Saccharomyces cerevisiae S288C: one gene and its partner. Changing the gene in region 1 together with any one later gene gives a genetic interaction. Each region holds a gene or a part of one and is shown on either strand. Other genes may lie near its edges. The genes, in order: FRE4 and PUG1.

What was found.
Region 2: mutations in FRE4 (region 1) and PUG1 together harm fitness more than expected from each alone (negative genetic interaction), as found in Saccharomyces cerevisiae (one large-scale study listed by BioGRID).

What each region holds. Positions count from the first base shown.
Region 1 is NC_001146.8:737,912-742,696, reverse strand, and holds FRE4 (ferric-chelate reductase), read right to left. Parts: upstream 2,747-4,785; coding exon 587-2,746; downstream 1-586. Other genes in the region: MNT4 (putative alpha-1,3-mannosyltransferase), read right to left, coding at 4,152-4,785. UniProt on the Saccharomyces cerevisiae protein: Siderophore-iron reductase responsible for reducing extracellular iron prior to import. Catalyzes the reductive uptake of Fe(3+) bound to dihydroxamate rhodotorulic acid.
Region 2 is NC_001137.3:557,432-560,997, forward strand, and holds PUG1 (Pug1p), read left to right. Parts: upstream 1-2,022; coding exon 2,023-2,934; downstream 2,935-3,566. Other genes in the region: TOG1 (Tog1p), read right to left, coding at 1-1,249. UniProt on the Saccharomyces cerevisiae protein: Involved in inducible protoporphyrin IX influx and heme efflux.

The DNA of each region.
Region 1 (4,785 bases):
TCCCTTACCTCCACATATGAATTTGGAATACCAATAATTACCTCTTAAAAGGTTTCAGAAGACGTTTACTATTTAATTCTTAGCTACACATCATATAGTTATTAATTCAATATATTACTTTTGGTACTGCATTCTAAAACACTAAAGTATAACCTCCGAACATTATATAGGTGTTTATTGAGTTATTTTTTGAAGAAATAGTCCACTAGAAATTGCTTGGGATGCGGGATTCCTTTTTCTCTTGGTCCTTACATTATACACCAATTTTATCTTTATAAGAAAATACAGGTAGTTAAATTAAGTACATGAACGCTGAAGATCGATTGGTTCATATTCTATCGGCAATTGGTGTGTTATACAATTCAGAGTTACTAAATATGAAGCTTCTGTCATCTTACGTATGATTTTTCTGCTTTTTAATACGATTATTTTTCTGAAAAAGTGTTATTTGAAACAACTTAAGCCTCAGTAGTTAGAATCAATCAACAAGAGTCCCCTAAAAAAGGCGCAAACCATCTACGTTAATGAAATTACAACAGTTAGAGGATATTATACATTGAGTGTTTACTTAAATATGAAAAATTGTTCACCAGGCTTGGTATTCCTCCAAGTATTCAATCATTCTTGATGGGTTTCTGATAACAGCTTTGGCAGTTTGATTTCTAGCGGTGTCGACGAAAATAGGTGGTCCGCAACATACGACGGCAAGTGAACCAGAATGGTTAACAGATTCATTTAGTATTTCTTCAACATTTGGCCTTCCAACATGGAAAGTGGCAAATTCTAAATCGGAGATAGACGTGTCATTCAGGGAAAGAGGTAGTTCTGTATTTTCACTTTCAGAAGGAGCTTTTTCTGAATTGCTTAGACTAGATGGGGCCTTCTCTGCTGTCGTTTCACCGTTTTTGACTTCATTTGAGGAAATTTTTTCAGCCGAAGCTAGCTCTTGCTTAGAATTATAAATGTGAACTTGAACATTCAAGCCCTTTAATGCCATTAGTTCTTTCTTACACGCGTTGAGCATGTCTAGTCCTCTTACTGCTATGACTAACTGTACAAAGTTTTTACCGCTTGCAGCTGTTGTCTTTCCTAATTCAAGGGCATGAGAAATTGGACCGGGAAGCCCTGAGCCACCTGCCAACAATAATACATTATCAAAGCGATGGGCGGTGGACTTGGAGCCATAAGGGCCTTCGATAGCTAATCTCATGGATGCCTTGCCGCCTTTACGTTCAACAAAGTTTCTTACCAGTTTTGTCACACCTTTCTTTGCTTTCAGAACGATGACCAATTCTCTATCGTTTACGCAAGAATCCATCACTGTAAATGGATGCGACTGCCAGAAGCACAATGGACGCAAGAAGGAAACGAAAACGTATTGGCCTGGTTTTGCCTTCCAAAACTTCTTTGGTTTTTTAACCGTTACACGGACCAAATCAGATCCAACCAGTTGTAGATCTGCTTTAGGAAATCCTAAGAGTGCAATTCTGGTGATACGTACAATTCTATCAACTCCCCAAATTGCTATTGCCGCGTAAATCCATTCGATACCGCTGAAGTTAGTAACATGCTCCCAACAAGTATAGAGAAATAGTGCTGCGAATACTATATGGAGGGCCATAAACGTTTCATAGTAGTGTCTTCTAAATGCTGCGATGGAAAAGAAAATTAACATTCCCGCTAAACAGGTGGTAGCAATACCGAATTTCCAGTAGACTCTTAATCTAACCGTATTCCATTTTTTATAATACAAATAATAGTTCGTAAAGCCGGCAGCATGAATTATTGCATCAAGAAACATCATTCTTCCCAGCCACTTATGGAACACAATGAATGAGGTATGCTTCAAGCCAGAAATAAGTTGGAGAAAGTTATTTCTTCCCGCAAATAAAACAATGAGTGGCAGGTGTGCAAAAGAAAGTATACCGCTTCTGTACGCAACAAAATGTGCCACTTCTGCTCTATGAGCGGCAAATATGATGTGGTATGGATCATATTGATATTTGTAGGCCATGAAAATGGTATGAAGTATGAGGTAGCCTAAAATAACCAACGTTTCAAACCTAGTAGGAAGATAGCCTGTTATCACTTTTAAGTACGAGAAGGGCTCTGCATGCTTTTCATAAAGAGTGGGTAGAGTAGTATAACCTCTCACGTAATTGACTAGCTTTTGCTGAAACATAATCTTTTTTATTGGGGTATAATTCAAAAAACGAATTAAACCTGCAAGCAACATGACACCCACAAAGTATGCACAGATAATGCCCCCGAAATAATACGGAATGTCATGGTTATAGTAGTAACCATAGTATGCATCATAGTATGCTTTTCTTAGTGTAGTGTTCAGTCTGATAGGATAAGTGATATTGATGCCAGCTTTAGGTTGATCTTGTATATAGTATGTTCCATTATCCAATGAGGTGTAAAACTCGGCATCAGTCATGTTCAAAAACTTTGGTGTATAGCAAAATTGTCTCATTTCTTCAAAACCTTTCTCCAAAGTTTTATTTGAATACCCTTTCTCATGCGTGTCTTCGTAAAGACAGTAAAGCATCGATTGGATTGCTGGTTCATACCGACATATAGCGGACCCATTGAACCCCCATGTTTCTTTACGTAAACCAACGTAGCATGAATATATCGACCTTCTCTCATGAGTATTTATTAGAGACGTTTTACTGGGTGGGGCCTTTGCGGCCGAAAGCTGGAAGAACAGAAGGAAAGATATAATATGTACCAACAACATGGTTTTGCCTACCTAAGCTTATTTAGCCATCTCAGGTTCAAGAAATAGACGCTGGGGAGACACGATTAACTGGAGTCTTTCTCAGCTTCTCTAGTTGTTTTATATGAGAGTCAGCCAAGACTAAGAAAGAGGAGAAAAACTGGCTTTTAACGAATATTTTGTGTAACTGCAAGAACTACTAGGGTTTGATGTACCTTGCTCATTAAACTACGCTAGGAATTCCCTATGTAAACGCTGATGCGTTTGCCTTAACGAAAAAAATTTTCTCTAACGATACAGAAATTGTAACCTCATTTTTACCATAGTCACCGGCAGTGAAGGGATATATCGGGACCTCTACCAGTAGTCTTTGTTCTTTTGAGTATTGTTCCCTCAGGGTCCTATGAAACCAGGTGCAATTATGGTATTCGTTGAGTGTCTATGTTAAATAGGGTGCAAATTTTTAGACGGTCTTGCATAAAAAAACAAAAAACGTTCTTCTATCGGAAAAAGCCGTTCCTGCTTACAAAGCCAAGATCTTGTTTTGTACGCAGTTGCTCTGGGATTCAGATTACGTGTTTCTAAGAAGCAGGTCCCCCTCTTCTAAAATTATTCCATGGCATACCTTTATTATTCTTCTCTTCTCAGCCACGTTACTCTTAGTAGAAGTTTCTTGCTAGCGCCCGCTTTATCCCGAAAACGTCATTTCACACATTCTTGAGGGAAGGAAAAAGGAAAAAGGCTACTCAGGCATCTATGGCCGTCGCCAAAGTAACCTTACTTCCTAAGCTATTGAAGGGCTCGCTTGTAAGGAAAATTTCCCTGTGCTAATAGCGGAACTGGGTACTGAGCACTTTTTATGCACGTGCATCGTACAATTACTCGCTTGGAGCCAATGCACTAAACATTCTTATAATTCTAGGCGAAAATGTGTTGTAGTAGTTTTACGTGCGGGAAACTTACTTCATGCGATATACTTATTTGTTTAAAACAGATATGGTATTTTGTTAGTTTTTGATTCAGGCGCTACTGATGATTTGTGCAAGGGTCCAGAGAAAAATGCATGTGTCAGTGTTCTAAGCCAAGTATATATGATTACCGGTAAAATTCTACGCCAATATTCGTCTTTTACTGAAGAAAAGTATTGTTGGCATTCCTACTTTATTTTAAAGTTTTCTTGAGGCAAAATGAAGAAAGAGCTAAGGCTCTTTTTATGAGCGAATTTCACATAATGTTAACTAAATATAAATGCGGGAATAACATTGTGCCAAGAGGAACTTAAATAAGGATATCTCAAAAACAGCCTAGTTCCGTAGGAAAGATGCCGTTTGAAAACGATGTCAAGAAGGGTTTAACATGCTTTATAGAAAAATCTAAAAGTTTAAAAACTTATAGGAAATTCACCGTACTCATACTGAAACATACTCTATACAACCTTGTTCCATAATTCTACAACTTTCTCGTAATATTTCTTTTGAGAATCTGTAAACTCTATCAATTTTCCGTACTGTCCCTTCCTATAATGTGTGCAATAGCTGTACATAACGCATTCGCTCTGTTGCGACCAGGGGGACTTGCTGACATCGGGTATTATGACAGCTTCGAGTTTCACAGGTGATTGATAGTAATTCCGTAATTCATCAACGCTTTTGTATTTGGCCGCAATCTCTTTACGCTTTGTAAAATCATAATTCCAACAATTTTTTTTGCAAACGGATAATCCGCCATTCAACCACAAAAGATTACCGTACACGTCCGTGTGAGATAGCTGGGTAGAACAGATTGTACTGCTTTCTAGAGTCTCCGGCTTCTCTAATCTTCCTACATTCGAAGCCTCTATTGGATAAAAAGTAAACTCTTTTTTGGAAATAAACAAACTAAGCCAAAACCATTCCTTATCACCATGGAAAAACTCTTGGATAGGCGAAAATTGCAGCATTATTGCGATTGGTAGACAGAAAAAGTGTTTTTGTTTATCGAATATCACTAAGCCGCTGTCCATGTAATGTTTTTGTTTCTTGAAAATCAAGGCCTCTATTGCATCAATTGCCATCTCATCG
Region 2 (3,566 bases), on another chromosome or scaffold:
AATCATCTACCCCTAATCCAACCACATCCTTGGGAAAGAGACACGAAGTCATTTCATGTGGTATCAATGGCTGCTTACCGGTGACCAATGAATACCATCTATCCCACCAGTAGCAGTCCCACCATAACTTACGATATTCTTCGGCAGTGTCCTCATCCTGACCAATATAATATTCCCAACGATTCAAACCAGCATCCAAACTTCGCCTGGACATCGTGGAAATAATTCTTCCCAGCACAAAAGGATCGTCTATCCAATATCTGTGTTTCATCAACGAGACTAAGCCCTTTAAAATAGTCAAGTCGTACATTGTCGAAAATAGGGATCTTTCAAAATATTCAAGACAGAGACAAAAAATCAACTCATCTTGCTCAAGAAAATATTTCAAAGGAAGTAATTTTTTGGAACTTTTACGATCCAACGCCTTGTGGTGCTGTTCCATCAATTGTACTCCGTACATAAACCAGTCTGTTGGTTTATTGAATTTGATTGTTTGGTTAATGTTTGTATTTCCTTTGATTTCATTCGATATATTTGACATAATGTGTTGAATAAGTACGTCGTTCCCACATGAAAGTCCGTTTAGCTTTGAATAATACTCTAAAGGAGATATCGAAGTTACTTTAGGACCAGCATGGCTAGCAGAGCTAGCGTCAAGAAACTTCAAAAATAAATAGATAGTTTCTCTCGTCTCCCTATCATTCGAACATGAAATCAATTTTTTAGTTATCCAGCTAATACCCGTAGAGGCAAAATATAGCAACGGTGAATAGACCCCAAAGTACATACTGACATTTTGTGCAGTATTGCTTTCAAAAGCGTTGGAGAACCTATTCAAAGATTTTGACTGTTTCCCGATAATTTCTGTTTCTATCGATTTCAGGCCACCATACGAGCTAATTTCCTTACTGTCCAGATTGAGGTAAAGCTGAGGTTGTATTTTTTCAAGCTCAGTGCAAATGTTTGCTAGGCCTTTCTGTAAAGAGGCCGGTGCGCTTGGAGGTAACTGTGCCTTCAATTTTGCTATGCTGCACTTAGCATTATCCAAATCATTACTGAGACTACCAGTATAATTGAAAAAAGCCTCAATCGGTTCACGAAATTGATTTCTATACGTACATTTTGATTGAGACCCAATACACCCAAAACATGGCTTCTTACTGTTGCACTTAATCTTTTTCCTATGGCATCTATCACAGGCCTTGGTTACCCTAGATTTTTGTTTGGCTAATCCTCTTTTTGCTGCCATCTCAATAAAATATAAAAAGCTAAAAAGCTTAAAATTTAAACAACAATAATGTCGTTAACCTAATGCGCTTATTCGATGAGATTTGGATTTGCTTCTAGCTTATAGAAAGGAAGAAAGTTTTTACTGTTCAAAGCACACATCAAAAAAATTATTACCCAGCCTTTCAAACAAACAAAGTACTCCAAAATAGTTATTTTTGAATACTAGCAAACCAACCAATCACTTTTTTTGTTGGATTATCAAATAAGCCTAATCAGGTCTTTCATGCAGCGTTGAATCCAGGTTACTTCACCGCACCTTAAGTTAAGATCAGGACAGTATCGGCTGTTCCTGAGAAACCAGCCATATTCAAGTTTCGGTATCCTAACCGTTGATATTGTCCTTATTTGTCGACCTTCAAATATTGTGGCTGCCATGTATATGAGCGCCTCGATCTATTATGACTAAGCCATGCGATTGTCGTGTAATGGTATCGCGCATACTGAAGGTTTCAGCCCTGTTTTGATGTGCCGCGGCAAAGTGGTTTTTCTCCATACAGGATGAAGTGTTTCTTTCCCCATGCCGCGGCAAGCTCATCCTAAATAAATCTCAACTTTTCAACTAAATGTACTTCAATTGAACAAATGCCAAGACCTCAAATGAATCAGTATAAAAGCACCTACCGAATCAATTGTGGGATGTATAGTCTCTTGCCTCAAAATGTCCAGGATAGTAGGTTAATAGTGTCCAATTACATAGCTACTTAATCTTTTATTGTCCATCAACGTTCCAAAATGTCCACAACTGATTCGGGGTTCGTACTTTACCACTATACGCCAAGTAAAGCGGCTGCAATCGTATTTGTCGTACTCTTCATTATAATGACAGTCATTTTTGCCGTTCAAACTTTATATGCTGCGAGAAAATCTTCTAAGGCATTGAAAAATAATCCATTTGAGTCATCTGATGATAAGGTCGATAGTCTTGAGGATGCTGAATACAAGCAACTAAAAATCACACCCACAGTTTTTGCGTTTATACCTTTCTTCACTGGCTGCATCATGGAAGCTGTCGGGTATATCGGGAGGGCTCTATCCAGTTCCAATCCTGAAAGAACGACCCCATATATTATCCAATCTGTTCTTTTATTAGTCGCTCCAGCACTAATAGCTGCGACGATTTATATGATTTTTGGAAGGTTATTACATGTTATGAGGTGCCAATCTTTAATTTTGATTTCTGCACGCTTTGGTACGACTTTCTTTGTTGTGGGAGATGTGTTTAGTTTCTTTTTACAAGCTGCAGGTGGCGGACTAATGTCTAAGGCAGGATCAACGAAGACTGGTTCAGGACTCATAACTGCGGGTCTTTTTGTACAGGTAATTTTTTTTGGATTTTTCATTATCAATGAGATAAGATTCACAGTAAATGTTAAAAGGAGATGCTTATTTTACGAAGATATTTCCAGAAAGTGGATCTTTGTGAATGCTACCCTATTATTAAGCAGTATGTTGATCCTACTACGTTCAATTGTCCGAATAGTTGAATTTATTCAGGGATTCAATGGCTATATAATCTCTCATGAGTATTTCATATATGTCTTCGATGCTGTACCTATGTTATTGGTAATAATAGCATTTAGTGTGGGATCCTTTTTCGGCAACGTATTCGATGTTATAAAGGAGTGTCAAACGTTAAGTAATTAGATAATATATATCAAATTTTGATTTCTATGTAGTGCAGCCAATCAATTTTAACTTCATTTAGAATAAAAATCTTTCCTCTTCTGCTTTGAAGCCATTAAAACGAAAGATCTAGGCGGTACTATTTCTCCATTCTCAGCCGTACAATCATGCACCGAAAAGGAAGGCAATGTATTGAATTTTTCGCCGAGAACAAAATATTTGTAAACACTCGTTAGATTCCGCATTGTTAAGTGGCATCACAAACACAATCAAGATTAAGAGAAAAGTAGCTCGTTGAGAAAGATTCTTGTACATATCGGGATACTTCTGAAGTCTAATAAAACATTCAAATAAAGACAGACTGGATAAAAGATTCCTGAACGTCAAAACTTATATCTTCTTGTCCCTTGGAATGTCTCTCTGCTCTTATATTGTTGCTGTTGAGTGGTCTCATGACAATAAAGTATGTCACTGAATTGAAGACTACTGAACCATGGCAGCTAATACAATCACGCCCATCCAGAAAAGTGTCGTGTGGCGAAAATTTTTGTTCACGTTGAACAGAGGGTACTGATTTCAAAGTGCTCTTAAGTCGTAATGACGGCCCTAATAATGATTTCCAGACCCTTTGGAAGGAGTTTCTTCTTTAAGTA